Daphnia pulex: one gene and its partners. The protein of the gene in region 1 purifies or fractionates together with the protein of each later gene. This does not show direct contact. Links are inferred from orthologs where the notes say so. Each region holds a gene or a part of one and is shown on either strand. Other genes may lie near its edges. The genes, in order: dnaJ homolog subfamily A member 2-like; nuclear migration protein nudC-like; endonuclease G, mitochondrial-like.

The links.
Region 2: the proteins of dnaJ homolog subfamily A member 2-like (region 1) and nuclear migration protein nudC-like purify together in Homo sapiens (affinity purification with mass spectrometry; 4 studies listed by BioGRID and IntAct, with this or other methods). This does not show direct contact. The link is inferred for Daphnia pulex from reciprocal best matches to the Homo sapiens genes DNAJA2 and NUDC.
Region 3: the proteins of dnaJ homolog subfamily A member 2-like (region 1) and endonuclease G, mitochondrial-like purify together in Homo sapiens (affinity purification with mass spectrometry; 3 studies listed by BioGRID and IntAct, with this or other methods). This does not show direct contact. The link is inferred for Daphnia pulex from reciprocal best matches to the Homo sapiens genes DNAJA2 and ENDOG.

The regions. Positions count from the first base shown.
Region 1 is NC_060020.1:3,554,258-3,564,917, forward strand, and holds dnaJ homolog subfamily A member 2-like, read right to left. Parts: upstream 6,336-10,660; 5' UTR 6,237-6,335; coding exon 6,168-6,236; intron 5,978-6,167; coding exon 5,691-5,977; intron 5,627-5,690; coding exon 5,546-5,626; intron 5,483-5,545; coding exon 5,349-5,482; intron 5,292-5,348; coding exon 5,149-5,291; intron 5,088-5,148; coding exon 4,947-5,087; intron 4,878-4,946; coding exon 4,692-4,877; intron 4,605-4,691; coding exon 4,413-4,604; 3' UTR 4,054-4,412; downstream 1-4,053. Other genes in the region: protein kibra-like, read left to right, coding at 8,408-8,532, 8,989-9,098, 9,178-9,381, 9,520-9,679, 9,759-10,015, 10,092-10,585, 10,649-10,660. UniProt on the Homo sapiens protein: Co-chaperone of Hsc70. Stimulates ATP hydrolysis and the folding of unfolded proteins mediated by HSPA1A/B (in vitro).
Region 2 is NC_060028.1:841,092-851,960, reverse strand, and holds nuclear migration protein nudC-like, read left to right. Parts: upstream 1-3,622; 5' UTR 3,623-3,758; coding exon 3,759-3,833; intron 3,834-3,906; coding exon 3,907-3,984; intron 3,985-4,000; exon of another isoform or gene 4,001-4,236; coding exon 4,237-4,629; exon of another isoform or gene 4,630-4,636; coding exon of another isoform or gene 4,637-4,662; intron 4,663-4,726; coding exon of another isoform or gene 4,727-5,036; intron 5,037-6,212; coding exon of another isoform or gene 6,213-6,296; exon of another isoform or gene 6,297-6,450; intron 6,451-6,658; coding exon 6,659-7,056; intron 7,057-7,083; exon of another isoform or gene 7,084-7,130; coding exon 7,131-7,182; 3' UTR 7,183-7,299; downstream 7,300-10,869. Other genes in the region: TGF-beta-activated kinase 1 and MAP3K7-binding protein 2-like, read right to left, coding at 793-1,000, 1,201-1,402, 1,501-1,867, 1,937-2,322, 2,430-2,907, 2,965-3,075; uncharacterized protein LOC124208453, read right to left, coding at 4,637-4,662, 4,727-5,036, 6,213-6,296; guided entry of tail-anchored proteins factor 1-like, read right to left, coding at 7,337-7,516, 7,612-7,845, 8,224-8,292; uncharacterized protein LOC124208447, read left to right, coding at 10,812-10,869. UniProt on the Homo sapiens protein: Plays a role in neurogenesis and neuronal migration. Necessary for correct formation of mitotic spindles and chromosome separation during mitosis. Necessary for cytokinesis and cell proliferation.
Region 3 is NC_060024.1:9,161,201-9,171,220, reverse strand, and holds endonuclease G, mitochondrial-like, read left to right. Parts: upstream 1-4,502; 5' UTR 4,503-4,654; coding exon 4,655-4,927; intron 4,928-4,986; coding exon 4,987-5,398; intron 5,399-5,459; coding exon 5,460-5,478; intron 5,479-5,553; coding exon 5,554-5,839; 3' UTR 5,840-5,988; downstream 5,989-10,020. Other genes in the region: stress-induced-phosphoprotein 1-like, read right to left, coding at 6,046-6,118, 6,180-6,343, 6,410-6,513, 6,569-6,730, 6,805-6,982, 7,039-7,308, 7,365-7,498, 7,556-8,129 and 1 more; thiamine transporter 1-like, read right to left, coding at 9,132-9,218, 9,275-9,416, 9,479-9,671, 9,737-9,864, 9,942-10,020. UniProt on the Homo sapiens protein: Endonuclease that preferentially catalyzes the cleavage of double-stranded 5-hydroxymethylcytosine (5hmC)-modified DNA.

The DNA of each region.
Region 1 (10,660 bases):
GTTCAACCAGACTAAAAAGGCTAAGAAATTTGATGGCGGATGTGCTCAATGAATGAACGGACGGATCCCTGACAGACGGATACACGATATTGTATGTTTAGTGGAGAGTCTAAAAAGTTCCTTCAAGTTTCCACTAGTTTTGATTGGACCCTTAGGGGTGAACCCGCACGCGTTATATAGCCGTCGAATAAACAAAGGCCTGGTTGTTACTGGGTCTCGTTACCATTGATCAGCAGAACAACAGCCCGGGCTCCACGTAATCCGATGCGACGACCGGAAAGGCGCTCACGTCAAAGCTGAGCTTTTAAAAACAAAAAAAAAGAAAGAAAGAAGAAAAAATTATACGACAGCAAAGTTCAGCCATATAGGATAACAGTTGCTATTACAGTTTACTGGCTGTGGGTTTTTGGTGGCGGTATTGTTCATCGAATGTGATTAGTTGGAAAGACTGGCACTTTATGATTATGGCGGGATTATTGAACGTGAGGAAGGAGAAGACAACTCCCCTTTACGGATGATGATCCGATTAGGTACTTTAAGCTGGACGCGATGTGATGGACGAATGGCGCTCAATCCATGGTCGATATTTCTCTCTTATGAATAACAAAAGCTGCTGCTGTCTAGTCTATATGGGATCGTGCGTTTGTTTACTTGGGTCGACTCTTTTTGAGATATGTTTTTACGTATAGGAGGATGATGACCAGCTGTAGCGCGTTGCGCAACAGTTAGAGCTGCTGAGTGAGCACCGGAGAGAGCTATACACGGTGGCAGCCGGACAAACATGTCAGGTCTAAATTTAATACGCAACACAACGCCTTATTTGTTTGGAAGAGAGGCTTTATTTTTACATTCGTGATTTCAGCCAGCACAGACAGACAACAGCAGCGCAATCTCATGCACGCGTATATGTTTGTTTCAAACTCATCTGCAGATTGATATACGTCAGGTCTTATTCTTCATCAGTTAAGTTATACTATACAATGGGGATTTGGCAAATTTCAGAGGGATTATTATTGCACGTTGACCGTTGGCCATGCATTGAAGAGATTATTGTTCATCGTTACATAGCAACTGAAATGACGATATAGTCGTCGCCGTGGTTTCAATTAGAGGATAATAATGAAGAAACAAGAGGATATGATAGACCGAACGTAGATATAGAATAAGGAAACTGATAGGAAGAATCGACAGGTAGACAGCATGAGAGGAATAATAATCAATTGCTCCAAGAATAACAGTGCTGGATACATATAGATATCTCTTTCCCCCCTTTTCTTTTAACATATTGCTTTGCTTAGCAACGGTTGTCATCATATTCGAGGATTTCACATTGAGTGCGCCATGAGATGTAATGGCTAGATGTAAAAGTATCCGGGCTCTGAAATAAAAGCTTAAAGCTTAATGCGGTCCGGGACCACTTTCATCGCTATCATTTTTAAATGCTACAGTTCATATTATCTGCATTTGAAAAAAAGAAAATTAATTTAATTGAACTTTACCTTTTATCTCTCATATCTTTTAATGAACAAAATAATTACGTGACAAATCAGATCAACCGTACAAACTTGAATGATTTTTCTCGGAAACCTTTCCACTGGTTGAGTGCAAAGTGATTGTTAGAGGTATATCTTAATACAGGATCGCAGCGGGAGTTTATATGAAATCAAGGCTTGAAGCGGGTCGCCATTGCGCCTTGTTTTGTATTGAGTGACAGTTTAATTAGCGTCTAGTTGAACGACGCTGTGCCTTTTGACAAAAATAAAAAACAACTTTTCTGTTCCTTCCCACTCATCATCGTGCCTGGGATATACATGGTAATGGCACTGATGGATTCGCAAACGAGTCAGGCCAGGCTCTCTTTTCCGTCATCAAGCATCGATTGCTTCATGGAATATATTAACAACAGGGTGGCGTATACACATATAAGAAAAAAAAAGGGTAGGCGCGTCATCTCAATGCGCTGGAACTTCCTTTCTAAATGGCGTGATTTATAGGGCCACCACCCGCGTCATCAACAGAAGACCTTCATATGTCACGCTCCCCTTGATTTTTTTTCTCCCTCTTTCCGCCAGCAGCACCTTTGCTTTGAGTCGGCATCAATACCACCCCAAAGTTATAGTCAACAAAGCGATTGGGAACTAACGATCCAGCAGCAAACCAAAGAACAGCAGCCCAGCAGCAGCGCTTCCGATCAGACAAAAGGGAAACAGACGTAATAAGAAGGCCGTCCCAATTACACGTCAATCACGTTGTTGTTTCGGTATAATATATACGCCGAAGAGGAAACCAATCAAGGCTATATAGATGATGAGAGACTTCCACGGGTGTCTATATATCGTCGCTGTTTGATGATGGTCGGTGCAACGGACACTAAGTAGCTACACATGGCTGCTGGAATCACATTATCCACATATTATATCTTTGTTATTTCATATGGGGGGAAATTATTGTTTGTTGTACCCCGAGCGACTGCTGCTGCTGGTGATGAAGCGCAGCTGTTATTGGTTGTTGTCCCTATATCTCACCTCCAGGAGAGTTTTTCGTTTGATGTTGCGTGACTTTATTGAAATGAAAATCGGCTTCAAAGGTGCTCTACCATCAAATCTCGCTCGCACCCCTTTTTTTTCTTTCTCCGTCTATTGCAGATATGTGCAGTATATGCCATACGGGAGGGATAGATGTTAAAGCAATAAGGGGATGCTAGAGCGCGTATATCCTAGACAGACGGGGAAAAAATACACAAGGGCTTTTAGGAGCAATCGACGAATCGATCGCTGACATTTGATATCATGGCTGAAAGTTATTTACCATCGTGAGCTTCCAATGGGCCTTGGTTGCTTCTGACGATGGATGAATGAACATAGCTTATGAATTCGAATTGCTTAGATGTTATTTTAATATGCATATGGGGATGGCTCATCTTACACCCAGATGCGAGTTATATACATATGCAATAAAACGATCGACTCAATCGAAATCGGCGCATTTTTTCTTTACTAACTTTTATGTCTTTTCTATGATTCTCTTTTTTCTGTTTGCAGGTTAATCAAATATTGTCAAGAACATCAGAAAACAGATGTACTCGTCACGGGCATTTCCCCTTCCGAAAATCCCTTCAAGGAGAACAAGACGTGCAACTTGCTTTAACGTTAGCTATATTATTCAGTTATGTTATGTTACATGTTTATGTCCTCAAATGAAATTGTGTTGTCGGTGAATTATCAAACCAAACTAAAAACATCTTTCGTTTCTTTTCTTCCATTTTCCACTTTTTGAGTTCACATTGATGTAAATGGTTGAATGTTGTTTGACCGCTCTGTATCCATTGTCGTTCGAATCGCTGCATCATCTGCCTCTAATCCTTTGAAAATCTTTTACAAAATCCTTTCGTTGTCAAAGTAGCGCAAGCTGAACACACATTTCACGATGAAGAAAAATTGCCATAAAAGCGACTGCCTTTTCTTCGCTGATGCTCCGCCTAGATTACACGTCACGGTGAACAATGCAGAAAAGCCAAGCGAAGACAGAATAAATGCTTCAATGAGCTTCCCAGTTCGGCTGAACTGAACGTCTGAATTGTCAGCCATCAACATCATTTATTGTTCAAACTCGACATGCCGATTTCCTCAAGTCGCAACTAGCGTGATCCCGTTTTTCTGTGTAATCCCTATCCGGAAGCCTTTGCACTCAGATGCTATTCTAGTTTCGACATCCAAACGGAGAACGCACACACTCACATCCCAATCGTCAATTTTGATTAAGTCACTCGAAATGACAGCCAAAATAAAATAAGCTCTGCTTAAGTCTTGCCACAATGTTTCCATTATTGTCATTGAGTTATCAAGATTTGGTGATTGACTAAATGTAGGGATTCGGTAATGATCTGCAGTCAACAAAACCTGTGATAACGCATCGTTTTCTTCTACAAATTGGAACAGTGACATCATTAGCAATGGCGAAGCAGCACAACGGATCCTAATTACAGTATGAGTAATGATGAGTAAACATGACAAGACAGGGAAGGGCTACAGAAAAAGAACCAAGCTTGAAAGCTTGAAGTGACATCGTTTATTTCGTGTTTACCAAAGGATGTCAAGTCGAGATAGGGGGGCCAAGATTCCCAGAGTACAAATTCAAACGAAAAACAGTAATCTTGATTGTTCTTTCACTATATGCCATGAAAGGCAACGATTCACCTAACCAGCGTGACGGTGAACAGTCGACCCCCCACTTCTTAATTTTGCTACACTGGACGAACAAATGTTTTCAGAACGACAAGCAATTTTTTTTTTTTTTTAAAGTCGAGGAAAATGTTTTTCAACTTAAGATAATTCAAGATTTGAAATTTGGTTATAAAGGAAAGGGAATCGCCGAATACGAAAAACAAGATCGACTTGTTTTCGCTTGTGAATCTACTGATGGGCGCACTGTACACCTGGTCCTGATGGACCTCCCTCTTCATCGTCAGAATCATATGCGTTGCTGGGTCCGCCAGCTCCGTCACGGCGTTCATTGGCGTCGTAATCGTGAAGGTCAACCTCCTCGACGTGCTCTCCTGAGGGTGGAATGACTGAGGGTCGTCCGGGTAAAAGTTTCTCGATCGCCTATCGAATTTCACAAATAACAAAATTGAACATTTTGTTATTTCATTAACTAATCCACTCCCAACTGGTTTTCAAGAATTAATGTACCATAATTGTTGATTCATCAGCAAAATGGCTAGAGGGGAACTCTACGTCAAATTTAATAAACAGCTCTCCTTTTTCGAAAGGACTACGGTAACGAGGCATTCCTTCGCCGGGCACCATCTTAGTGCTGCCGGGTTCGACTACGTTTCCTGGTGCTTGTCGGATCACCAAATCACGGCCGTCGAGATGCTATTGGCACCAAAATATAAAACGGTAGAATAAAAAAATCTGTCGAAAAGAAATCTTACAACAACTAACCTTCAACACATAGCAGAACCCACACAATGCTTCAGTCAGAGTTATAGTGTGCATCACGCAAAGATCGTCTCCTTGTCGCTTGAACTTTTCATGGGGTTTCTGTTGCAAAATTATCACTACGTCGCCAGCTTCAACTCCGGGCTATTGGAATATCACAGTTATAAGACACTGCAGATCAATGAATGTTTGTAGTGCAAAATACCTGTTGATCACCTTCACCGCGAAACAGAATTTTCTGTGAATCTTTCATGCCTTTGTCGACGTGAACTTCCAAAATTTTGGTTTCGTTCTGTACTTTCTTGCCTTTACAAGCCTTGCAGCGATCTCTCTCGTTGATCATCTCACCTGTAAGATTAATTCAACATTAGACAAGGAAAATTAAAATTTCCAATGGTTGTTTACCTTCTCCATTACAGGTTGAACATACTGACTGAATCTGTTGCATCATACCAGGTCCAAGTGGTCTCAGGGAAATTTTTATTCCACGACCTTGGCAGGTTGCACAAGTAACATTGGCTCCAGGTTTGCCACCTTGCCTGTAACAGAAAAAAAAATTTGTAAAATACTGGCCAAATCAAATGACATAAAAATACACATACCCACTGCAAAGAGCACAAATGACATTCTTGCTCAACTGGAGCTTGGATGTCTTTCCATTGTAGAGGTCTTCCAATGTCACTCTAAACATACAAAGACATGTTAAAACCTAGAAACTAAAGCTGCACACAGCACAAAGAGCCTTACTTGAGAGGGTGCACAGTATCTTCTCCTCTTTGACGAGTCTTTCGACGACCACCACCTCCCATACCTCCAAACAACCCACCACCAAAGAAATGGGACAGGATATCATCGGCGCCAAAACCACCATGTTCATGTACACCTTCTTGCAATCCTTTCAGTCCATGTCTGTCATAAACTTCTCTCTTCTTTGGATCAGACAAGACTTCATAGGCAAATGATATCTCCTTAAACTTCTCACCAGCCTCAGGGTTCTTGTCAGGGTGGAACTCTTTGGCTAGTTTTCTGTAGGCCTAAAACAGATAGAGAACATGTTAGCAGAAATCAGTTGTCATTACAAAACTGCTAGATAAGTAGCCATTGTTCCTAGACATGCCACGACATGACCCTGAAAAATCGATAGTTTGTTCTTGGAATTTAGAGTCGTATTTCGGATTTTAGAATATTTTTGCTTCACAAAATTAACACCGAACACATAACTACCTTTTTGAGTTCAGCATCGGTGGCTTTGGTTGGGACACCAAGGATTTCGTAAAGAGCATTGTCAGCCATCGCAGATTTTTTGACCAGCAAGATTGCAGAACTTCTAGTAAAATGGTAGGTCTAATTTGTCCCAAAGGCCGCACCACTCTCCTTCTGAGGGCAGTGAGGACAGCAAGTTGGTTCTTTTTGAGGCAACCATCATTAAGGAAACCAGCTAGAGTCACCCAGCGGCGACTTGTCCAATTTTAAGACGGAGGGAATTATTTGTTGGGAGATGAATTTTGTTCCTTTTATTATAATTGAAAACTAAAATTTTAGTGTCAAATTTTGTTGTACTATTTCATGAAAAAAGAATTAACGATGGGAAAACATCACCATCTTCGTTAATTGAGTTCTATTTGATTGATGAGTTCTTTTCCCTACCGCTATGTGGGCATAGATGGTTACTGAAAGATGATTGGCTCTTGTCCAAAGAAAGAATCGGCCTTGTACATCAAGTTATCGGTGAAAGCATCATTGCCATGTTTTTCTTTCTCATCCCGAGCTGCGCAATGGCCTCATTCTTTCGGATGGGAGAATGAATTTTCTGTTTTCGGTGGCAGAATACGAGAGAACACTCAACTCGGTACTCATTGAGGCTAGGTGGTTCTGCAACTTATTAATTACTAGCTCATATAAACATGGTTAAAATATCGACCACATGCCTAGAATGCCTGCCGAACCCACAAATTCCTGCTTTGCGCTCATAAAAAATTTTAATTCGGAGCCATTATTAGACTTCGAGGAAAGCCACGGCCCATGGCTTATCTCTTTTTTATTCAAGGTTATATCATATTTTGTTGCAGTTTGTATTCATCTGAGAAAAAATTTATGTCTCTGATCACTAACAATGGGGCGAAAGTCGAAGTTAATAGGTATAAAGTAAATTTTATATGCTGCACTGATTATAAGAGTGAGCTGTAATTTTAGAATTTACTAATTTGCTCGTGATAAGGGATGAGCATGTCAATGTCATACATAGAGGTTTTTCCTGTTATCTTCCAGACTCGAAAAACAAACAAAATTCGAAAATACGTTGTGCCAAGTTGGTGTTACGAATGTGCTTGATATTTAAATAAAGTTGATCCAATCGTAACAACCTCTAGTTATCGCATTGTTGTATTGGATTTCATAATCAGTTTTATACAGGTAACTGAAAAAATATTTGAAAAATGTTCATAGCCAATGCAATGCTCCTCGAATAATTTATCAAAGCAAATTAAACTTAGACTAGCCGAACCAAATTCCGTATGAACGGAGAAAAATAATTTGTTTTTGGCTCGGCGGTAGCGGCAGGGGAATAGTTGATAGTGCACATTCCTAGACGTTTTTGTCTAGGTCTCTGCCGAACAGCGTTCTTCCCATTTCCATTTGGCTTTAATAGTGCAGAGTATCTTCGTAAAATTGCTGTCAACCTACACTTAAGAACATGCCAATGAAAATTATTCGTTATGAATTCCGTCTTACTTCTTTATTTTTTTAAAATTCTATTTTGTCGTGTGAAGAAGAAATGCATCCATCTCCGCTGAATTAAGGAAATAATTACGGTGTAAAGCGCCAAAGATTAGAACTGATAGAGAGAACAAAGAGCTTTAATTTTCAAAGCACGAGCCATTTGGTACGAGGATTTCAGTTCATGTTTGGCGACTGGTACATTATTATTAGGAAAATATTCTGCGTTTTTCCCAGTTTATTACTGAGAACAACGACATCTGCTGTTCCGTAGGAGGAGGGCACTATTGGCTTCGAAATTGTCGAGTCTAACATTGAAGGAGGAATTCCTAGCTGGAATGCACCTTTAGCTTCGCTCGAATTGGTGTTTCGGCATAACTTGGAATTTTTGGACATTTAGAAGTGATTTTCACTCCTAAAAAGTGTTGGAAATAGTTCAACGATATCATCTTGTTGAGACACCGTGGTCAATTTCTGGGTTTTCCTGCAAATTCATGGTAATGCGAACTTAAAAACCGTTGGGGAAAATGTTGTGTTATGATAATGGGTCGCATTCCAATGACGTCACAAATAAAATGGCGCTGCTATCTACAAAATGAAACTCTCGACGTCCTGACTCAAGCTCAGAATTCTGCATCTAACATTCGACATTTCAGTGCAAAAACAGCGTCGAATATACCGTGAATGTGTTAGTGAATGATTTTTCTTCTGTTCTTTGTTGTACTTTTGTTGGAAATATTGCCATCGACATGTCCAAGCGTAATGGTGAGATCCCTTTGCCTCAAGGATGGGAGCTTGGTCGAGATTACGATGGCAAAGTGTACTTTATTGATCACAACAGCAAGAAAACAACTTGGGTTGATCCTCGAGACAGGTTTGTTAACATTTCAGATACTATTAATTTGAATTATTCTCTTTGGGCCCATCCTTCAAATGATGCTGAGACCTGTTGTCGATTGTGGAATGCTAACATGGCTGTCAAGTCCACACACAATAATTCCAATGAACTTTTGGATTATTTTTCTTCTATTTTGAAGTTGAGCCATAGCTTTTGGGAAATGCATGAAAAAAAATGAGAAATGTCCCCAAAACAAATGTTGAACTGAACTGCTATATCCTTGTTTTGGCTGCGCATACTTCCTATACGTCCATATTGTAAATTAAACATTCCAAGTATCTGTTGATTTAAAATTCAACTGAATCCTAATAGAAAAAATAGTGTTTTAAAATTAGTGTTAGATTCCAAAGAAATATGCAATTAAAATAATAGTTAATTATTTATAAAGTCTAGTGTTAATCAAGTATTGGATTTTTTTTGGTATTTATTTAGGTTAATAAAGCCGCAAACATTTGCAGACTGTGTTGGAAATGAATTACCTTTAGGTTGGGAAGAATCATATGACTCTCAGGTTGGACCTTTTTACACAAACCACATAACCCGTAAGTAAAAAAAAAAAGAAAAAAGAGTCAAGAGTTACATGACCTAGCAAACAAACAATTGTTTAAATTGCCTATTCAGAGACCAATCAGTTAGAAGACCCTCGGCTAGAATGGAGGTCTATACAAGAAGCCATGCTGAAAGAATATCTTCAAACTGCCAAAGAAGACCTTGAAGCCAAGAAAGAGATCTTGGATATTAAACAACAAAGATTAACTATTGCACAAGATGAGTTTCATCTACTTCGCCATGCCTACACAGGGCTTGATGCTTCGCGAACATCATGTAAGTGAAATTCTTCTTCGATAATGTAACGTCACAGGCGCTGGGATATTTCTTAGTTAGAACATCTCATTGCCACCCCACCCCCATCCTCTTTGTCTAACAAATATAATAAATATCCGGAATAATTTTTTTTTACAGTGAATTCCACAAGCAGTGGGTCAAGCACTAAATTTGATCCGGATTTGTTAAAAGCCGATGTGGCTTTAGCTAAAAATAGAGTTGCCCGGTTACGCCGGGATTTAGATGTTGCCAGAGCTGAATTCGCCTATCAGCAACGGGGTATCGACATGCTTTCACAGTAAGTTAGCTCTTTAAAGGAAGAATATCTTAATTGTCATAGAACCTATCTTAATCTTTTCATTTTCTTTACTTGACAGAGCTGAGACTAAATTGTCTTCTTTGCCTTGTGGTTACACATTGCAAGAAGCACAAGCCATGATGGCTGAATTGCGCAACATTCAACACTCGCTATCAAGCGGCGAGAAAGAAAAAGCAGAATTAATGGCTTCGTTGTCACGGTTGCGCGACGATTTAACCCGACTGAAGCCGCTGAACAACGACATGTCTCCAGATTTATCAACGTTATCCCTTCCACAAGAGAAATTTAGCACAGCCTCCCAAACAGATTTATCAGGTAGGATTAATTTAGGGGAGAAAAAAAAACAATAATGGAAATCATCAGTTTTACGCTAAATTTGTCATTTTTTCAGGCGAATCAGCTCCAATCGGAACACGCTTGGCTGAAATGGCCCGAACTCGTCTTCAGTACGACGAAGCAAGAAAACATTTGCAATACTTGCAACAGAAAATGGCAGAACTCGAGGATAGAATCGCTCCTGGTCAGAGTGAATCTGATAAAGACCGACTTCTGCTCATTCAGGAGAAAGAACAACTGCTGCGGGAACTGCGCAGCATCGCACCAAGGTCGCGCTCCAAAACCGAGATGGAAACGGTTCGAACCAAGATTCAACGGCTTGAGAAAGATCTTAGCCAAGCGTTAGAAGCTTCTAATCGAACTATAGCCGATCGACTTAAACTCCACGAAGAAAAACAAATTTTGTTGCAATCAATGAGATTAGCTTTGCGCAACGTAGCACTTTTAGAAGGGCAGCTCCGTTCACTATCTGCCAGCACATTAAGCATGTCAAGTAGTTCGAGTTTAGGATCTCTTTCGACTTCATCTAGGAGCCATGCATCGTCCAAGGTACTTATCTCATGAATTGATTTTGAATCTCATATAATTTATGGGTTTCTTTTTTGTTTCAAGGGCTCTTTATCA
Region 2 (10,869 bases), on another chromosome or scaffold:
TTTCACGCTCACGAACACAAAATCAGCGAAAAAATTTTCTTTTTTTTGGGACGGGATTTTTAAAGAAAAACTAAAAAAACAAAAAATCCCCAGTCGAAAGTTCGCGCGCCCACAGCGTGAAAAGAGACGAAAAAACAAAATTTGTCGGTGATTGGTTATTTAAAAAAAACAAACAAACAAGCGCATTCTCTCTCTCCCGCACACCATTTCTGGCGTTCTTAATTATTATTATTATTTAAAAGTTTCTAAAAATTACTTTTTTTTCTTCCTCCCAAAATGTTCCATTGCGTGTTTTTGAGAATTGCAACCCCGCCTCCCGTTTTTTTCTCCACCTTATCGCCCAACCCCCAACCCCTCATGTTAACATGTCGTTCGATTTTCACTAATCGTTAATTATTATAATACACACTGTGTTCCGGATTCATAAAAATTTCTAAACAATTTTAATTTTTAAAAAACAAAAAAGCTAACGGAGAGTTGAACGCAAAATGATTCGACGGATGATGATTGTATATGAAAAATGAACCAATAATAAGTATATCATTATAATTTATGTACACACGGCGAAATTCGGGCTATAGGGAGCGACAGACGCAAGAGGACTGTGAAAAATGAATGAAAATAATTATTTTGCTATATATATAATGTTCATTCATTGAATAGAAATGATATTCGAACGAGCTGCTTTTCTAGGAGACAAGAAGGAGATTGAAAACGAAATTATTTAAAAAAAAAAAAAAGAAAAAACACACACCCATGTTTTTTTTTTAAATCACCGTTTCCTTTCGGGCATTATTTCACTGGTGATTGGGCGGCCAGACCGTCCGACGACATGGCGGCTGATGGAATTTTTCCAGAAAAAAAAAAATTAAAAAGAAAATAAAAATAAAATCCATGAAAGAAGCGAAAACAGGCGGATATGAGAAAAAATCCAAAGTTGACATTTTCGTTGTTTGTGTTTTGTTTGTTTTGTTTTAGACACCCCACCCTTGGATCGTTCCTGGAACAGAAAGAAGTTGACGGTTACGGTTAGTCGAGTCTATAGCGTGTGTGTGTGATTTTTCTAAGCTTTTTTTAAATAAAAATTTAAAAAAAAAGAAGCGGCAATTTCAAAAAATTTCTAACGAAAAGGCGGGAAAAAATGTTTGAAAAACGAATTTTTTCCAATCAAGCCAAAATGAGGTGAGGTTTGGTATTTACGCGGACGGTGACGGACGTGGATGTGAATGTTTCCCGGCCTGCGACTGTACGGTATAAAGCTGCGGACGGCCATCACCCCTGCTGGGAATAGAGAAAGCCACAACCACCACACCCGGAAAAAGAGGACAAGAAATTGGTAGAATAAGCAAAAGGTCAGACAAAGCCAATAAAAGCACAACAACAACAACCTGGCCAGCTCCAGCTGCGTCCATTCGAGTAAGCAACCCACCACATTATTATCATCACCAATATGACTACAAGTAGAATTATGAGTATCGCCCTGGACGGGCAGTAGGTCACCTTGTTGGGTCGAAGAGGTCACGATGGGCGACGACGACGAAGGAGAAGACGAGTGGCCCGGCTGGCCGGGTGGCGGCCGAGGCGAATCGCACTCCTCGCACTTGCTCAGCGCCGGGTGGTTCTGGAAGGTGCAACGGCTGCAGTTCCAGCCGTCCGACTCGTCGTCCTCCTCCGTCACGGTGGCAACCAGAGGAGGCGGAGTCCCGTTGTGGAAAGTTGGAGTGCCGGCCGAGTGAGGAGTCGACGGAGTCGAAGGCGGATTCCGGATGTTGTTGTCGCTCTGTCGAGTGAACAGCTCTTGGCACATCCGCTGGCACTCCTGTTCCAAATTGCGGACTTCGCCTTTGAGATGTTCCAAATCAACAACCTGGAAATCATTTGGAATCAAAGAAAATCAGAAAGGATTCATTTTAAATCGATAAAATTCATTTTTTACGGCTTGTTGGCGCTGGATTGGATGCGGGAAATGAGGGAACCGGACAGCAGGTGGTAGCTGCTGCGGTTGCTGGATCGGTTCTCTTCGGGGTAGATTATTGGTGTCCAGGAGCTGTTTCTCTTTGGTCAATTCTTCTTGAAGGCGTTCGACTTTCTGGCTCAGCGAGGTCAGCCGTTGGCGATCCTCGGCCAGGGATCGACGCAAAGACTCCCGCCGTTCGCATTGCTCCCTGATGTGCTCCGCCTGGTCCGGTAGACTAACCGAAGACATCGAAGGCTGCTGTTGGCTCTGCAGACAGTTTATGCTGCCGGAATTCGGGGTCGGTCCCACACCGTAGTGCCATGGGGAGAGTATGTTTGACCGCTGGACGGCCGAAACTGTTCCTCCTGTTGTTTTGTCGAGTCAATCAAATGGGGCAAGAAAGTGGGGGGGTTGAAAATATAGAATACAATCAATTTGAATTTTGGTGATCAGAGAGGAAATGGATCAATACCTTGAGGACTGATTGTGATTTTCAGTTGAGAGTGCAACCCTCGGTGGTGGTCCGTCGAGGCCGACGAGTAGGTGACGTAAGGAACAGTGTCAGGTTGCAGGATAACGTTGACTGACGTGGACGATCTCGGCTGATCGCAAAAGACCTGGACTTGGGACGAGGCCCCTCGTCCGCCAGTGAGGTCTGGAGGCGGCAGAGACAAGTCGATATCGGGTCGGTAGAGTGGGGACGTGTAGATCGGTGGACTAGGACCGGTAGAGGCAGCTGCACCCACTGGGGGAGTGACTGGCAGTGGCGGAGGAACTTTGGTTGGTGTCAGGCAGTCAACGAGGGGTTTGTGTCCACCATCAAGTGGTGAATTCCCTGCCGACAGGCTTTTGGGGGGACCCTGAGGCATTTTCTTGACGAGGGGAAACCGTCCATACTTGGGGGCTTCTTTCTGCAGCAGGGCCTCTGCAGCTCGTCTGTTGTAACCAGCCTGCACGAAACCACATGGGTTAACTCGGGTGAAAAATATTACACTTCCCAATGTTACCTTTCTGATGCAGTCATTGACAACTGCGTCAGGTACTTCGGGGAAACCTTGTTTCACCTGGTAGAAAAGTTGTTTGAGAGCAAATTGTGTAAGCTCAGTGTGGTCCATCATTGGCCGAGATCCATTCAATCTGAACAAACAAATGATAATGAGCATGTTTCTACACATGGAAACAATTGTTTTAAAGGACAAAGTACCTGCGAGGATACTAATGTCTAGCATCGTTAACGTTCGAAGCGTAGGTGGGAATAAACAATAGTAGACGAACGTAAAACTTACAAGGGTTCATCGACTTATTGAACCATAACCAATTTCAACGCAATTAGTTAATTGGTGGCGAACAATTTAGCTTGGGGGATAAAACGTATAAAAGGCTTAAATTCCTCAAGAGAGACCGTTCAGAGTTGGGGAACGGGTCTTCTCAAATTCCCATAAAACTCACGTCAGTGTTTATTTCAGGATCGCCAATATCTCCTACCATTACGGCCATGTTTTGGTCAAACGACAACACTGTGTAATTTTAAGCAAAATAATTTATTAACATGTTACTCAATATGAATACATTTTTAATTGCCTTTAATAATTTAAAATTAAAAATTTGAAGTAAATTACACGATAAGAACGTTATTAATCATGTTATTTATTTTTACATCGGCAACATTGTTGGTTTCTAGGCAGCGTGTTTGCTTACTTTGCTTACGTCGTCGGCTGTTCGAAATCGTTATTGTCCGAATTTGGCCAGAAGATTCTGGAATTTTTAACACGTGAAACTACTTTTTAATTCGAATAAAATAATGGCTGATAAATCAGAAGCGTTTGATGGCATTTTGCTGTCCATTGCAACTCAACATGAAGGCGGTGTTCAGGATGTAAGTTTGCAATTTTGTCGATGCCTAGTTTGTTTTGATTAAATATTACATTTTATTTTTATGACACTTGCAGTTGTTGGACACATTCTTCAGCTTCCTGTGTCGGAAAACAGATTTTTACACTGGTGCAGGAATTCAAGCAGCTGAAAAGGTAACAACGACCAACATTTCACGTAGCACTAGGCCAAAATATATTTTTCGTGAGGAACAAATCATGAGAAAACTGACAGAATTCAAGAAAAACATGTCACACAAGTTTATGAGTAGAGGGAGAAAACATGGAGCGAATAAATATTAATAGAATGATTATATTGTGACATAGTGTGATTTGGTCTCTTGCGAAAAGCTTGTGTGTTTTTGTTTTCTTTGTACGATGAACTAACCTCTTTCCTTGTTGCTCCAGTTGCTGATGGAAAAGTTCAACAAATACAAGATCAAAGCCGACCAGGAAACAGCCAAGAAAAAGGCCGAGATCGAGGAGCGTGAAAGGAAGATCAAGGAACGCCGGGAAAAGGAGTTGAAACAACAACTGGAGGAGCAGCAAAAGAAAGAAGCTGCCGAACCGAAAATCAAAGAACTGACGGATGAAGAAGCTGCCGAGATGGTGGAGCAGCAAAAGAAGAAGCAAGAGGAATCGTCTAACGAAGTAGCCAAAGTAGCCTCCAAGGAAGTCGACAGCACCAGCAAAAAGGACGAAGAGGAAGATCCACAGGATGCTGGCAAGCTCAAACCCAATGCCGGCAATGGATGTGATTTGCCAAACTACCGATGGACTCAAACCCTCTCAGACATTGAGGTAAGTCCTAAACTTGGCTGCCATTCATGTAAACTATAACGAGAAGGGGAAAAATTATTTTAGAAACTCTGACCACTAAGGGTTATTAACACTTTACCTTCCATGTAGACAATCATTCCTACCAAGGCCAAGAGTGCCAAAGTGCAAAATGTCATAGACAATTGACAAGTGGTGGGTGTCGTTCTGTGAGTGCGGACGATAACGCCCGACTCTCCCAGTAAGGTGAATCTCGTCGGGGTGTCGCACCGGTCGTAACCGAAACTCCCCGTAACGGACATGGTCAGCTCGTTGCTGCTGGACGTTGACGAAGGCGGTGTGGGTGGCAGGCTCATGCTGTTGTGCACGCTACTCTCTTCCTCGGGCACCTGGATGACGGTGAGAACAGGCCGTGGGATGTGAAGCGTCCCCTGTAGTTTCAATGTCAGGAAAAAAATAAGTTACCAGGAATTTCTTTCTTTTTTTCGCCCTGAAATGAAGACGAAGGACAGGCGCCGTCGTTTCGTTGATCCCCCACAATGATAGATACAGCCAGAAGGTTCAAGGTTGTTGTTTTGTTGTATCGCAAACACAGAATTAACCGTATGAAGGGAAAAAACCAGAAATAAGCGCATAGGAAGAAGAGATTTTTTGTTTCTAAATCTATTGTAAAGCATTTTGTATTTATGTGGGCCCCTCGGGGCGAGTCTATGTACTACCTAGCTCTCTACAATCCTCCTAGCTGTGTGTGTAGGGTGTGCGTCTCCGTACCAGCCGACTGGTTTTATCTTTGACGCGCCAAACAGGATAGCAACTGGTCTGTGGAATTCCGGATCTCACGAAAAGAAAAAAGAAAAGAACTTTTTTTTTTTCTTTTGTGTTGCGCGGAAATTCCCCTCGCCTACACCCGGTACCTTTCTTTATTATACACCAGTCGGACAAAATTCCTCATTTTGTTTGATTGTTGGACGTCGTGATGACGGCCATCTGTCCCTTTCTCAGAGGACATTTGCAGAAGGTCAAAAGTGCGCAAAATAAAACTCTAAAAGGTTCCCAAAAGTAACTGAACTTTTTTTCTGTCTTGTTTGTGTGTTTCCCACATGTTTTTACTTTCGTTGGTTTCGTTCCCAACAACCTTCCCACTCCTGCCTTGGTTTTTGGAAAAATACTACTACACTATTCTCTTTCCCCTCCGAAAAGGGCAGAAGATAACGGGTCTGAATTCGGTGGTTAAACAACGTAGGCAGAGGGTTTTCCGTCTATACTTACTACACCAGCAGCAGCAGCTAAGAGGAACTGGTTTTCTTTATCGCGGACAGAGTCAAGGTCAAGGGTGAGGTCGTTTACCTCTTCCATTTCCCACCTTTGTATAATGGCATCACGGGACTACATGACATGTGTGTTGACAACGCAGGCAACAGAGAGTAAGCTTAGTCGTTGGGTATTTAGTAGCTATAACCAGAACGTTAACCCCGGCAATCTTCTCCGACCTTGACATTCCGTCAATTTCAACCATATCGCATTTCTCTTGGAAATCTAATTGAGAATCAACGTACCTGATTTGATTTGAAAAGGTGGGAATTGTTAAAAATTCAACTGAGACTGACCTGCTCCTGGTAGTGGTACTGGTGAACTTGGGGGATTTGCGGGAAGAATTTCCTTGTTTGACTCCAATTCCCGTTGAACGTCATTTTTCACTTGAATTTCCTGGTTGTGTTGGCCGTGTGTTATATCTGACTTTGGCGGAAAAAAGGCGACTGGAAAGGTGGACTCTCTCGGCATAACTGATCCACGACCTCTCCTTCCAAACGGACCAAACCCCCCTCTCTTCTTTGCTCTGCTCCTCCTCCTTCTTCTTCCACTCTTGCTTTTTACTTCTCTTATATTCCCCCTTCGCCACACCAGTCCCTCCCAACAGGTACAACACCCTATACAGTATAATCTTCTAAAACTGTCTGCAGCGCCTAAGGGGGGTCATTGAAAAGTTGATTAAGTTAAACCAAAAAAATGATTCAACCTTTTTTTGTTTTTTGATTTTGTTGTTGTTGTACAGGTGCGGATCCCGTTGCCCAAGGCCGGACTTCGTTCCCGCGACTTGACGGTCGACATCCAGAAGAATCATCTCAAGGCCGGCATCAAGAATCAACTGCCGGCCGTCGTCGACGATCGACTCTTGCACGACGTCAAGATTGAGGAATCAACGTGGCTGATTGAAGACAAGCTCACGTTGCTCATCACGCTGGAGAAGGTGAACAAGATGGAGTGGTGGAGCCGGCTGGTCTTGTCCGATCCGGAGATCAACACCAAAAAGATCAATCCCGAACCGTCGAAGCTGTCCGACCTGGACGGAGAGACGCGGGGGTTAGTCGAGAAGATGATGTACGACCAGCGTCAGAAGGAAATGGGGCTGCCGACATCCGAAGAACAAAAGAAACAAGATATGATGAAAAAGTGGGTCTTTTAATAATAATCATAATAATAATAATAGTTGTGTTATATTCTAAACCAAATTATTTTCATCACAGGTTCATGGAACAACACCCCGAAATGGATTTCAGCAAGTGCAAGTTTTCCTGAGCGATATCAAGAATTGTTTTACGAGTTCTTAAAAAAACAAATTTCCATTTCTACACAACAAAGAATTGCTAATTAACTTTCCTTCTTATTTCTTCCAAGAATACAATTCGAAACCAATTTTTTTTTTTTGTTTGTTCACCACGTGTGTATGTTTTTATTTGATGAGTGCCCGACAGGCGTTGTTGCATATAAATAACCAGAATACAATGCTGAGGGCTCCTTCGATCCCGGTTGGGTAGCTGAGCAAGAGATTCAAAGGCCAGAACCAGTCGGGGAGTCCAGTCAGAACTGGTTCGTAGCGTTGAGTGACAGCCAGGTAGACTAGGACGGCACCCTGTCAGATATGGTAAAAGGAAGAATTCAGGAGGGGTTGAGTAACCAAAGTTCAATGACATTTGAGTTGAAAGAAAAAAAAACATATCACATTACATTGACAACTTGGATGGCTTTGGTTAGTTTCCATCGGACAGACTCCCTGCCGTCCATCCTCGATTGTCCAAGGGATTGAATCTGTTCGTCTAGTTTGTTCATTTTCCGCTGGATTCGGGCGTAACGTGCGAATTCGTCCACGGCTGAGATGCCAGTCAGCTCTTTCCTGAGTCCTCTGAATTCTTCACGAATCTTCTTTTCCTCATCACTAACCTTGAATACAAAGTGTGTTCCCTATAAAAAAAGAAAGAAAATCTCGTGTAATCAACAGTCGAGTCAAGTGTCATCAGTCACACTACTTTTTGCACAACAACCACTTTTATCTTGATTAGAGCACACTTTGAGACCTCAATTTTAATTCAACATTCTGACGGTATTGTGAAGTGTCTAAACTTTCACACACCAAGATTAATTTATTCAGATATTTTTATCAGAATAGAAATATACATTAAACAATGATAGGGTTAAAGCTTTAAGGTTTAAGGACATATTTCCAATATTGAACTCGAATATTGATTTCTAGCAGCAAGTTTTCTAACTTCCAAACTATTTTACTCTAACTGAATATTGAATTAAGAATCGAGTATCACAGAGACGAGAAATTGTACTCACCCATTTCACAATACTTGGTAACAGTGATCCAATCAAAATAAATACAGCAATCATCCAAAAAGTAAACATCTTTGAAAAACAAACTCGAGACGCCGAAAAGAAAAACGTCAACTTGACGTCGTCTGCTACACATCGATTATTTTTGTTAATCGATTTTTCACCGGGAAAATTCAAAATTAAATGAAATTAAATGAGAATTATAGTTTCTATGGCGTGATTTGAACAGCAGTGTAATCATTTGCGATAGTGCAATACTATAACTCAGTTATTTAGCTTGGAAAAGATTCGACCCATAGGTTCTTCCGTGGTGGGAGTCACACTTACCAAACCATATATAAATACGATATTGCTTGCACAGTCACGAACCTGAATTGACTCGTACCTCTTCCTACTCTTAAACAAGCTATTATAGTCGAACTGTTGTTTCTCAAACCAACTATTTATCCTTTCGGAATATACGCACACAGAAGGAACTCAAATAACGATTATAAATCTTTTAACATTCCAACGAAGAATTTACCACGCAACCTCACGCAGTAAATCTGTTTTCCTCTATCGTTTATTTCCACTGTACTGCAAATGTATTAGTCACTATATTTATTTTTTTACTTACCTATGAAGCCGTGCAACTCGTAAAATTATTCCCACTACGTCGGGTCTTCCCTACAGGTAAAAACAGCTTCCGCCACCAGAAGCGATCCTGTGGCAATTGGTGGAACTATAAGCTTTTGTTTATACCTGTTTTGTTTTAATTTGATAAAATTTGTTTGTTACTTTCATTACATTTTTTCCCTCAAATTTTATTGCGCAATGTTCGGTAATCTTTTTCCCTTTCGTCTTCTTTACTTTTCAGGGTATCATTTTGAAATTCTAGCAGAGTGGCGCAATCTTCTTCCCTTTTTCGACACATTAGTGTTATAGCTCTTCTTCAACAAGAAGTATAGAACCTTCGTAATAATTCGTTTCGTACCATCCGCATGTATATCTCTTTTCCAACATCATCCCAGACTGTGAGAGAATCACATCTGGTCGATTTTTCTTATTTTATATTAAGTGCATTGCACCGGCGAGTGCACAACCGTGTTGCGACATATCTCGACGACGAACGGGCGACGTGAACGGTTTCTTTCACGAATTGATTGGAAACTCGCCAGCCAAATCTCGGAACGATTCAACTGTGACGGGAATGACAATGAGTTCGATTCTCTATTCTCTAGAAATAATCATTTATTTCTTATAACCTGTATAGTACTCCTTATTGATTTCAAATCTATTCGTCGAGTCGCCGAGTGGTTGAGCAACCAACAAAGTTCATTGACCCGTCACGGCGGCAGCTTTATCGTGCGATCGGCAGGTTCTTCACAATTCTATCGTGAGCATACGAATCTCATCTGAATAGACAGAGAATAAGAATAGAAATATCGGCCGATTGTCGTAAATTTTCCAAGGAAAATTTGGTGGGAGCTCCCAGAATTCTATACAGATGTGATGGCCCTGAGAGTGTAAAGCCGCGTTCGGGAGCCGCGTGAAAGCCTTCTCTATTATTCAAACAATCTGTCTGTTATTACCCAAATGTATATATACTGAAATATTCGAATAGCAAAGACTCTGATGCTGTTGCTGGGCCACTCACATCTCTCCACACGCGTTTGGATGACAATAACGTTAAGTGCAGCTTCCTGGGTTTTTTGGGGGGGGAAATCGGATGGCGCGGGAAATTTGAATGTGATTCGCGTAGGAGTCAGGTAGGCGTGTGTGGAGAGCGTTTCAAAAATTTAGCACTTCAATATTCATGGCAGAATGGATCCAACGGAAAAATGTGTTGTGGAGAGGTGAGCCTGTGCAAACACGGTGGCCTTGAGAGTTGAAGTTATTTCGACGAGATTTTTAAATTCATTTAAATCTGTTTTTTTAAGATAATTGTGTAAATTTAAAACAACTTTAATTTTGTCCAGAGGTTCCTCTTTTAACAACGTCACCTAGGCAACGAGCTCAGTAATATATGCTACCATCTCGTCAGATATAATTACGCCAGACATTTTTGTTTAATCCAGTTTTCCATTTCTGCTGAAATAGCTGAATAGTAGTGACTATATTAGTCTTTGTCTCTTCTTAATCAAACGGCATAATTAGTTTTCATTTTTCTCATGTGACGTTTCTCAGGTAATATATTAGAAGTTGACTCGTTTCTACGGAAGTAGCTCACTAATGAGCCGGATCAGTTTCGTCTTATATTCAGAAAGTCCAGTCCCTTCCGCAGGAAATAAGTTTCTTCACCGTTGCCAACGTATAATACAATTCTTATCGATCATAGTTTTCTCTCCTCCCAGTCCACACGGACCAGGTGTGTAGGGCCTGGCATTTTGAATAAATAGACTTTTGCTTACAACTGCGCAAAATCTCACCTGGGCATAAAGATGAGCGTCTGTATAAGTTGGGCCATATTTCCAAAACAAGGACTCACAAGTTGATTCCCACGCAAAGAAGAGGAGCTCTACGACAAACAACATATGCAGGTATAAATCTCCAACAGGTAAAACTTTATACTATCTATAAAATAATTCCAATAATTCCAATTTCTATTCAGGATGAACAACAGCAGCCTGGAAACTCTTCAACATGACATTGTCCTGGACCAATACGGCC
Region 3 (10,020 bases), on another chromosome or scaffold:
ATTTGTTCGTTCAGAATTTAAAAAAACTTTTTTAAATTCGTGTGAAACCGTGTTATCTTTATCATATTTACTGGTTTGTTTTCTAGCTAAATTTAAAATGAAACAGCCTCCACCCATTGAGGATATCAGGTAAACTGATGGATGATTTTGATGAAGGATTGTTTTTGTAAAATCTTTATCTTTCAGAAAAAAATACGAGTCAGATCTACAATGGAATCTGAGGAGGGCATTCATTGAAAGAAATGAAGAGAAAATGGAGAGACGCAAGCTTCTGAAGTTGTCCGGTAACCTTATGAACATGGAATTTGTTGGAAAGTAAGTAGCCTATTCTATTGTAATGGAAATTTAGGACTTCGTTTGTAATAATGATTAATTTCTAAGGTTTCGATACCCCATCAAAGTTTACCATGAACTCAATAATTTGGCAGGAAATCTATGGGAAGAATTCAGACGGGAGAAGAAACTTGCCAGGATAAGGGATTGCATCTCAGAGGGGAACCTTTTTTAGCTAATGGGAGGCTATGGTAAAGTTTTTATTTATAGTCAAATTAATAGTCAATTAACTGCATAAAATAAAAATGACAAATTTTAGGGAGACTGAAATTCTACTGGACGGAAAACTGATTGCGTTTGCCGACCATAGATCTCGGAATTTGTCCATAAAACTCGCTTTCGAGTCCTCATTCTGGCAACTCCAACAATCCCAATTGTGGTCAATGACGAATCCTACGAGCATGTCGAGGATTTCGTTTTTGTATGAATCCATGAACCACGTTGCTTTTTGCTACCCATCCCTCTATGCTAACTTCGCATTCCAAGACTCGCCTATGTAATATTACTAATTCTATCTTATCTTAGAATGTTAAATATGTCTTGATTTCATTTTCTTATGCATTCGTTACATTGGATTCGAGGAAATGGGGTTTGGGAATAACAGAAATTATTTCAATCTTCCATTTGATTTTTCACTTCAGGCTCAGAATTTTTTGAAAAACTTCGTTTCTGAACAGTCTTTAGAAATCCTTGATTTTTCGACAGAATTGTCTCGTCGTCAAAGAGATATCGTTGGCGAGTAAATACAAAATATTTTCTGTAAATATTTGTTTTAAAATTAATTTCACTTTCTGGTTACAGGCTCGCTTATGCACTCAATCTAGATGTCTGCAAAGTTCATTATGGTAGAGAGGATCGGGTGCAAGTCAAAGTGATGCATTGCCTCCTTCATTTGGCAATGGATATTTTCTGGTTGATGTACCAAGTGGTAGAAGAAGAAGATGACCATCCAATCTTTAGAAAAGCATTCTTGTGCAACCGCAACCTCATGTAGGATATTGGGCAAATGCGCAGTACCTTTTCTCTCTGTGTACAATCTGGTAATGCTGATATCTGATCAAATGAGTCTTCAGATACAAATAATGGCCAGACCTATTGCCATGCCGGTCCGACAGGCGGACAGGGCAATAGAGGGCTTTTGCCTTGTCAGTATTAATAACCCCATCTAGTGACGGCTATTGCATTTTACTTTGCGTAGGGGAGACTGGAGTAACGCGGGGCAGTTTTTGTTTCTTTCCCTTATTTCCCAATTTAATCACCCTATTTATTTATTTTTTTTTACATTTTATGTATTTCACATGTAAAGGTACCGGGTTTGGGAACGATACTTCTAAAAAAGTATGTTCGTTAACGATAGCGATTCTTCGTTTTTTTTCATGTTCGTTAGTCGAACGATAAAGTGAAAAAAATTCATCGGCAAAAGAATACTCTATAGAATTTCGATACTAAAAGAAAAAAATTTAGGGAAAATTTTAACTTAAAAAAAACATTATTTTTCTCGACAATTGAGACAAACAACGAGAGAATTTCCTGCCTTTTCTGTAGGCCTATGAAAATCGAAATACTTAGAATGAATAAAAATATCACTATATGGGACATTCGAAAAAAAGTTTTGCTTAAAATTCACTGATATTCGGTGAAATTACAGCTATACAAAATTCGTCTCTTTTTTCTACTTTTGCTTTCTTAAAAGTATCGGTATCGTTCATCGAACGATACTCATTTCGATAATCGAACGATACCCATTTTGAAAAGTATTGCGCCATATACTAGAAACAAATTAAACAAGTATTTTTGATGACGTTTTCATCGTACATCGAATAGATAGTCTCAACCCTGAAGGTAACCCCCATATTTTTTTATTTAATTTTAAAGTAAACTGTTTACCCGTAGGAGACGGATAAAGTTGGGGAGGAGCCTATTTTGAGAGGTAAGTGAGGACACTAGGGTGGGTAGGACATTTGCTGTATAAGCCTTAAAATTTTTTAATTTGTTTTAATTGAAATCGTTTTTCCCTACATCAATTCTACTGTCATCCGTGAAAGTTTCTTGAACAGGCAAATGGCTCTCTATGTTTTAAGTTTAATTTGACGGAAGGGATACTACGGTGCCTTAGTACCGTACCCCCGGTATTTTACTCCCTTTTCTCTTTTTCTCTATGTTCTTCTCTTCCTTTACCTACGAAAGAAAAAAATAAAAAGGCGCAAAATCCAAAAAAAAACGACCCCCATCCCAACCGACCCCCCGCAAAAAAAGAGCCACTTCCCACCCACCACCCTAAAAGAAAACCAACCCCCTTCCCACCCACCCCCTCAGTTCAGTGCAAACAAGTAATCTTGTTTTTGCTCTTGATGTTCATAAGATAAAAACATTTTTGGTGGCTCTTAGTATAAAAATCGAATAGGAGAGAGTGGGGTTATTTGAACCGGCTTTGGTTTTCTCGTATAGGGCCTTTCCTAATATTATATTGTATTCGTCTCACTTTTTTCTATCTCCAGTTTTTTTATTTTATTTTAGAGTAAATAGTTTACCCGCTACCAATTTTTAAAGTTGCGGAAATAAAAGAGGGCGAGGAAAAAATCGGGGTTTGTATGGGACAGGGCGAAACAATCTAAATTTAGCACTAAAATATTGTAATCAATTAACTTTAAAATTTCATGCTATTATATTTGCCACCTAGTATTTGTTTTTCGCTATGTTTTTAGGTTATTGCTAAATTAAGAAATAATTTTTTTTTATATTTTTTTCTCAGCGTTGCCACTGAGCTAAGCTCCGCCCATTACAGACTTCTTTTAGTTCCAATTTAGAATTTACCCCACATTTTCGCCCCAAATATCCCCCCAAAAACGCTTTTGGGAAAACTTGAATTATACAACACATTTTTAACAAGCGATTTTCCACTCCATTTAAGCTTAATGTGATTCTTTATCCTAAAATACCGAATTCATCTAGAATTTCTAGATTAGGCAATTTTTTATATGTTTAATTTTTTGAAAATTGCGCCAAAACACAAATCAAATGTGTTTGTAATTACTTATTTTTGTTTATTCTATTTTAAAATATTAAAAATGAATTTTAGAATTTTAAAGATGAATTTTTAAATTTATTAAAATTTAATCAACCACTTGTGACCGAAAATATCGATTCAAAACGATCGATTTCGATTACAAACAAGTAAACAACTTACAATTAAATCAATCCAATCATTTTGAACAAACCTGCATTCAATATCAACAGACATTAACGTGGCTTCGAAAACACATTTACTACACAACCACATATTACGAATGAAAAAGGCCTTCGGGAACCTCTCCAAGAAGCCTCGGCGCATTGGTAGCAGTTGAATCTGAAAGCAATCCCGCCGTCAAGAAATGTGAACGTCACTAGGTGACTAAAAAATATGTCCAATAGGTAGCGCGAGCGTAATCGTGAGAAACGGAATTCCGCCATTTTTTGCTGAGAACATGAAGTACCATGGCCTACTGAACCCTAGGCCGGTGGTCGAGCTATACCCCTGTAGTGTAGCTTTTTCAACCCATCCCCTTCCTTTCAACCTTCCTGGGAAGTGGCGCACCTAGCGCTCAAATTAGCTTATTAGCTTTTCAAATTCCATTCTTCCCATTGCCATACACCTACTACTTCATAACTTTATCGAAGATTGGAGGAGCCTTGGCTGATCAGCCGATGAAGTGGATTGACTCTTTTGGCTTAGAAATGTTGGACGAATTTAAGGTTTTTCTCAATTTGCTTTTTAATATCTGTTCTGTTATTAACTAAAGATGTTCTGATACGTATTGGTGGCCCCTTGCCCCCGGAATTCGGGGGCCAATAGGGACAACCAAAAAAAATTTGGTCGGATGGCAACGGCTGCATTGGAGCGATAGTAAGGATAAGAGTTGTTATTTTTCAAAGTGATCTTAGCAAATTTAATGGAGAGAAGACAAAAACTTGAAATTATTTGGATAAATCAAAGAGGCATCTTGGACTCTTCCTCCAACACTTCATACATTATCCAGAACAAATCCATGAGTTTAGGGGAGCACTTCATTTGCGTAACGTGTACACGAGTGTCTGGCCCCTGGCCGATTTTAGTGGCATCCAGGTTGAGTGAACGAGCCTTCTTTATCTATGCTTCTACCATGGATTTAGTCAAAAATCGCAATGTGGCAACTCCCTTGATGTTTGAAAGCCCTCTCTGGCGGCTAATGCTATATTTCTCCAATTGCTTTTAGTCTACATTGTCTATTGTGCGTTGTGGTGTGCATTTAAAAATTAAGTTGTTCTTTTTTACTATTGTCGGAACCTAAACACAGTATTTATAATGTTTCGAATGAAGTTTGTTACCGTAACAAGTGTTGCCATAGGAGGATATTTGGCTGGGCTCGCAACCGAGAAATTCTATCGATCCCCAAGTGTAGATTTAGAACGTACTGAAAACTCAACATCCAATCATAATAATAACCTCTTGCCTATGCCGGGCTTACCAATATTTGGTACAGTATCCGCTGCTTCAATGGTACCTTCCAAAGCTAGTTTTAAAGAAGTGAAAAATATTCCTCCTGAACCTTCTAATAATGCCCCTAGAGTTTCTCAGGTATTAAACAAAGTCATGGGATACAACAAAATTTAAAGTAAAATTCCGACAATTATTAGATAATGAGATTTGGATTCCCTGGACTAGACAATGTACGGTCCCTGGATGATTACGTATTGTCATATGATAGAAGAAATAGAACTGCTCATTGGGTGTTTGAACATTTGACAGCTGATTTTGTTGCTTACAATGAGAAAGTTGATCGATCAAAATGTGATTTTGCTGAAGATGAATCCATTCATCCTTACTTCAGATCATCAAATGCTGACTACAAAGCTAGTGGCTTTGACAGAGGTCACTTAGCAGCAGCTGGAAATCATCGTAAGGATCAACTGCATTGCCAGCAGACCTTTCTGTTATCCAACATGTCACCACAAGTTGGAAAAGGATTCAATCGAGATTCATGGAATAGATTGGAGAGACATGTTAGAAATCTCACTAAAACAAACAGAAATGTATATGTGTGCACAGGTAATTAACATTGCTCAAACATTTCTTTATGGAATCAATCTGATGACAAATTTGTTTTTAGGACCACTCTACCTGCCCAGGTAGATGATTATTACATGAATGCTTACTCAAACAAATGGAAATAATAATTATCATTGTATATTTTCTTAACTTAGGAAGGAAGATGATGGCAAAATGTATGTAAAATATCAGGTAATTGGCAAGAATCATGTTGCAGTGCCTACCCATTTCTTCAAAGTCGTAGTCATAGAAAATCAGAAACAAGAGCTTTCTTTGGAATCCTATGTTATGCCAAATCAACCTATAGATGACAAAACTCCACTGTCTGTATTTCAAGTACCTCCAGAAACAGTAGAAAGAGCTGCTGGACTTTTATTTTTTGACAAACTGTCAATTGACAAGTTAAAAACTATAAATGGCAAAAGCCAAGTTTGGTTGTAATTTACAGTGCATACATGATAGTACTACAACCCATTATTTGAGAGCTTTGTGAAAAATAGTACAATCATGTAAAACAATTAAATTTTTCATTTCAAATATTCTTTTTCTTTTATATTTCATGAAAAAGAATACAAGAATTGACAATCATATCAATCAAAATTTTGACTCCACTTGATTTCTTAGAAAAGTAAGCATGGTACAATTAATTAATGAATGGAAATCAGTCCAGATTCAATCAGCTTCTGGATTTTAGTAGCAATCGCAGGATTTTTTAGATGGCTAAATTGAATAAACAATTTGTTAATATTTGCATCACTCTTAACATACATACGCTACTTACTCTTGCAGAGCACGAGGTTCATTCTGCATTTGTTCTAAAATCATACGCATGGCAGGGTCACGCAATATAGCTTGGACTTCTGGATCTGCCATTGCTCTTTTGCGCACTTCCTCAGGATTTGAGTTAGTTTGCATCATGCATGCGCGGTAGCCATCAAGCGCTTCCTAATATAAAAACACAAGAAAAAGTGAGTTGATTTTTCTTTAACCAACCAAAATAAATAAAACTACCGAGGCGTTTGGATCAAGCTCCATAGCTTTCTGAAAAGCGGTAGAAGCCTTACTATATTGCTGCATTCCCTGGAGAATCTTTCCTTTCCTAATCCATCCCTTAACTAAAAAGACATTAAAAAATATCAGACTGCGCTATAGACCAAAACATTTTCTTACCAAATGATGGTTCAAGCTCTAAACAGACATCACAATCTTTCAAACCTAAATCAAAAGCTGCCAGCTTTGTATAGCAGGCAGCACGATTACTGTAAACTTTAGCGTCGCCAGGGTTACGCTTTATCGCCTCCGAGTAACATTTTAATGCATCAGCGTATTGACCTATGTAAGGAAGTTCAAGAGAACAAATAATAAATTAACTGAGTTTACTTTCTCCTTCCGGAAAAGAGATTTACCTTTACGAAAAAATTCATTTCCTTTCTCCTTTTCTTGCTCTGCAATTTCCGGATTGATGTATGCCTTGCGTTGTTCCTCACGAAGCAAACTTTCCACTTCAGATAGCAATGTTTTTGTCTCTGGCGAGCGGAACTCTGAGAGTGATTTTTCGAAATGTAATTTTGCATTTGCCAAGTCCTTAAAGAGAGTGTTTTAAATAGACGTACAGTAATAGTTTGAATAATGTCAAATACCTTTAGCTTTTTATACGAGTTGCCAATTCGCGTATAAGCTTTGGCAATTAGCTTGAAGTCGGCCCTATTTTCTCTGCCAATGTCAATTGCTTGTTTACAAAGTTCCACACATTTTTCGTAATCCTTTTGTTCAAAATAAACAGCAGCCAAATTCGTGACATAAGTCATGTCAGTTGGATCTAGCTCTACAGCCTTGTTGTAGTGTTCTATTGCAGCAGCAAAATTTTTCTTCTTATAAGCTGCATTTCCCTTTTCTTTTTCATCAAGAGCCTATTAAATATAATTGTTGTTATCATAACTGAGAAAATCACACATGTTAGGCATACCTTTTTCTTCTCTTCTGGTAGAGCATCATATTTGGCTTTTTCCTCCCTCTTTCTCTCTTCTTCCTCCCTTTTTTTCTTCTCTTCTTTCGGATCAAGTGGTGGTGAAGGTTCTGTGGTATCCATTGGTTCATCTCCTGAGAAACATCTCCTTTTCAGTTACTATTGTCCACTACTTTGTTTTCACATAATACCTTCATTTGAAGCCTCCAAATCCACTCCTAGCAAGACACTGAGGGTGGCCAAAACTCTTGGATCACCCAATTTGGTGGCCATCGCACCTGGATTATTTTGAAGGTCTTGGATCAACTGTCGATAAGTTGGATCTTCAAACATTGCTTTTGTTTTTGGATTGTTCTGTAGTTTGTTCATGACATCTGGTCCAGCAAACGGATTCATGAGTTTTGCTCCTTGTGATCCAACCTTGTTCTTCACTTCAAGAAGACCTTCTTTAAGTTGTTCATTGTTTGGGTCATACTTGAGTCCTTCCTCATAGGCTTTTTGAGCTTCAACATCACGGCCAAGATAAGCCAATGCAGCACCTTTTCGTGAATGACCCTTACCCCAATCAGGCTTTAATGAAACAGTCTTCTCAGCATCCTGTAAAGCTTCCAGGTACTTTCCAGCTTTCGCATATGCAGCTGACCGATTGCTGTACAGAACATGATTTTCTGGGTCTATAGCCAATGCTTCTGAGTAAAGGGCTACAGCTTCATCTAATTTACCAGCCGACAAGGCCGCATTTCCTTGATCTTTCAATTGAGTTGCCTAAATTTATAGAACAAATGTAATGATCAAAAACCCTAGTTCTTTCAGTTTTATAGTACAATACTAATTTCCATACCTTGTTTGCCATGATAAAACAAGACAATCGCGATCAGAAGGTACGGATGAAACGTTGATGTAAATTCACACGCCTGCACACTGTCAATGAAACGTTTCCAAGTGGGGAATGATTTCGATACTGAGAGCGAGGGACACGAGAAACTTCGCGAAAAGGCTTACACACGATACAGACGACGGAAGGTTCTGGATTTCTGTCCGCCGAAATTCAAAGCTTACTAGAACTACGGCCAGAGCAGCAGAGCTTACAATAATAGTAGCGGTAGATTATGGAACCATTAATAGCCACTTTGTGCAATTAAAAATACATATCAGTGAAGCGTGGATAATTTAATGTATACATTTATTTTCCGTTTGAAACTAATGTGAAAGGCAATTATTTATTTCTTGCTTGAGACATTTATTCTTCTGCCTTCTAAAATGAGCAACTAAAGCCGCCATGAAAACAGACGTCATCTAGCGGCTAATGCTCTCCCTTCATTATTTTTTACGAATTTTTCAGCAAACGAAGAAATGCATTTTTTGAAATTTGAAATGAAACATCCTGTTGAAGAAAAAATTTGAAGCGTAGCTGTATGTTCGTTTATTATTTTTCTGTCTGCGCCTCCTCGGAGCTATTGCTTTAAGTCATCGATTTTTAGTTAATTTTAAAAACAAATACGATAATAATACAAATGCTTTTTTATTGCTTGGAGAAAAAAGGATAAATGCGGATAAATGCCATTTCTAATAAAAGAAGAAAATTTTAAAATAAAAACATTTGAATTTTTTATTAAATACTTTGTGCCAAACTTTTATTTTTTCACTGGTTCACTTTTTAGACTAGTAACATTGACATACCAACAATTTGTCTATCACTGGAAAGATGCGTAACGTTCATGAAGAACGAAATCATAAATACCGAGTGCGCTAGTTTTTCTAGCCAAATCAATTACTTCTACGTCCGGCATTATAGGCGGCCATGGAAATGAACACAACACCCAGGACAAAATAATAGCCTCCGTACACTTTAAACTACAAAATTTATTAATTAGATTCTTAAATTTCCAAGAAAAATTTTCTAATAATACCTGGTCCGGAGGTTCGAGCGCCAATCCAGCACTATCTGCTACAATCAAAGTTAGAATAGTTTGGAAAAACAGGGCGAGAAATGTGTTGATTCCAAACACCAGACCATAGCTTTCCTGTTTCAATCCTTTTGCTACTTCCGAACTATATTAAAAAAGCAACTGAATATTAGAATCCGAAAAGATCTCATACAATGAAATGCATACCTTGCAATTGTAATAAGAACACTATACGTTATGCAAAAGGCCATGTAAGTAACGTACGCTACCCACAGTTCATTAGAACTGCCAGCTAAGTATAACATGGCACCTTCAAATAATGATATCACAGCTATTACAGGTTCACCATACACTGACCAATTGACGGGCGCATAGCCAATAGCTATGGTAGCGAGAGCACCTATTAAAAAAAGCATGATTATAATTTCAATTTATGAATCATACACATTTCTTTATATCTTTTACTGAGGAACGTATGCGTGGCTTCTACAGCGCCGTTGTAAATATTGTTTGTTCCTGACGGAGCCACTGTTTCCCACAGAGGTTGGATGTAATTAAGTACTTGAAAGTAACCGCACATGGCAAACGCCCACCTATAGAAAGAAAAACAATGTAGAATGAAACATTTTCTGCATATTATCACGAAGGCTTTCTCATCAATAATTCATACCAAAGGGACCACTTGAGCATATAAGCATTTGAAAAAGAAGACTTGAAATCGATCCATAGGAGTTGATAGACAGATGCCA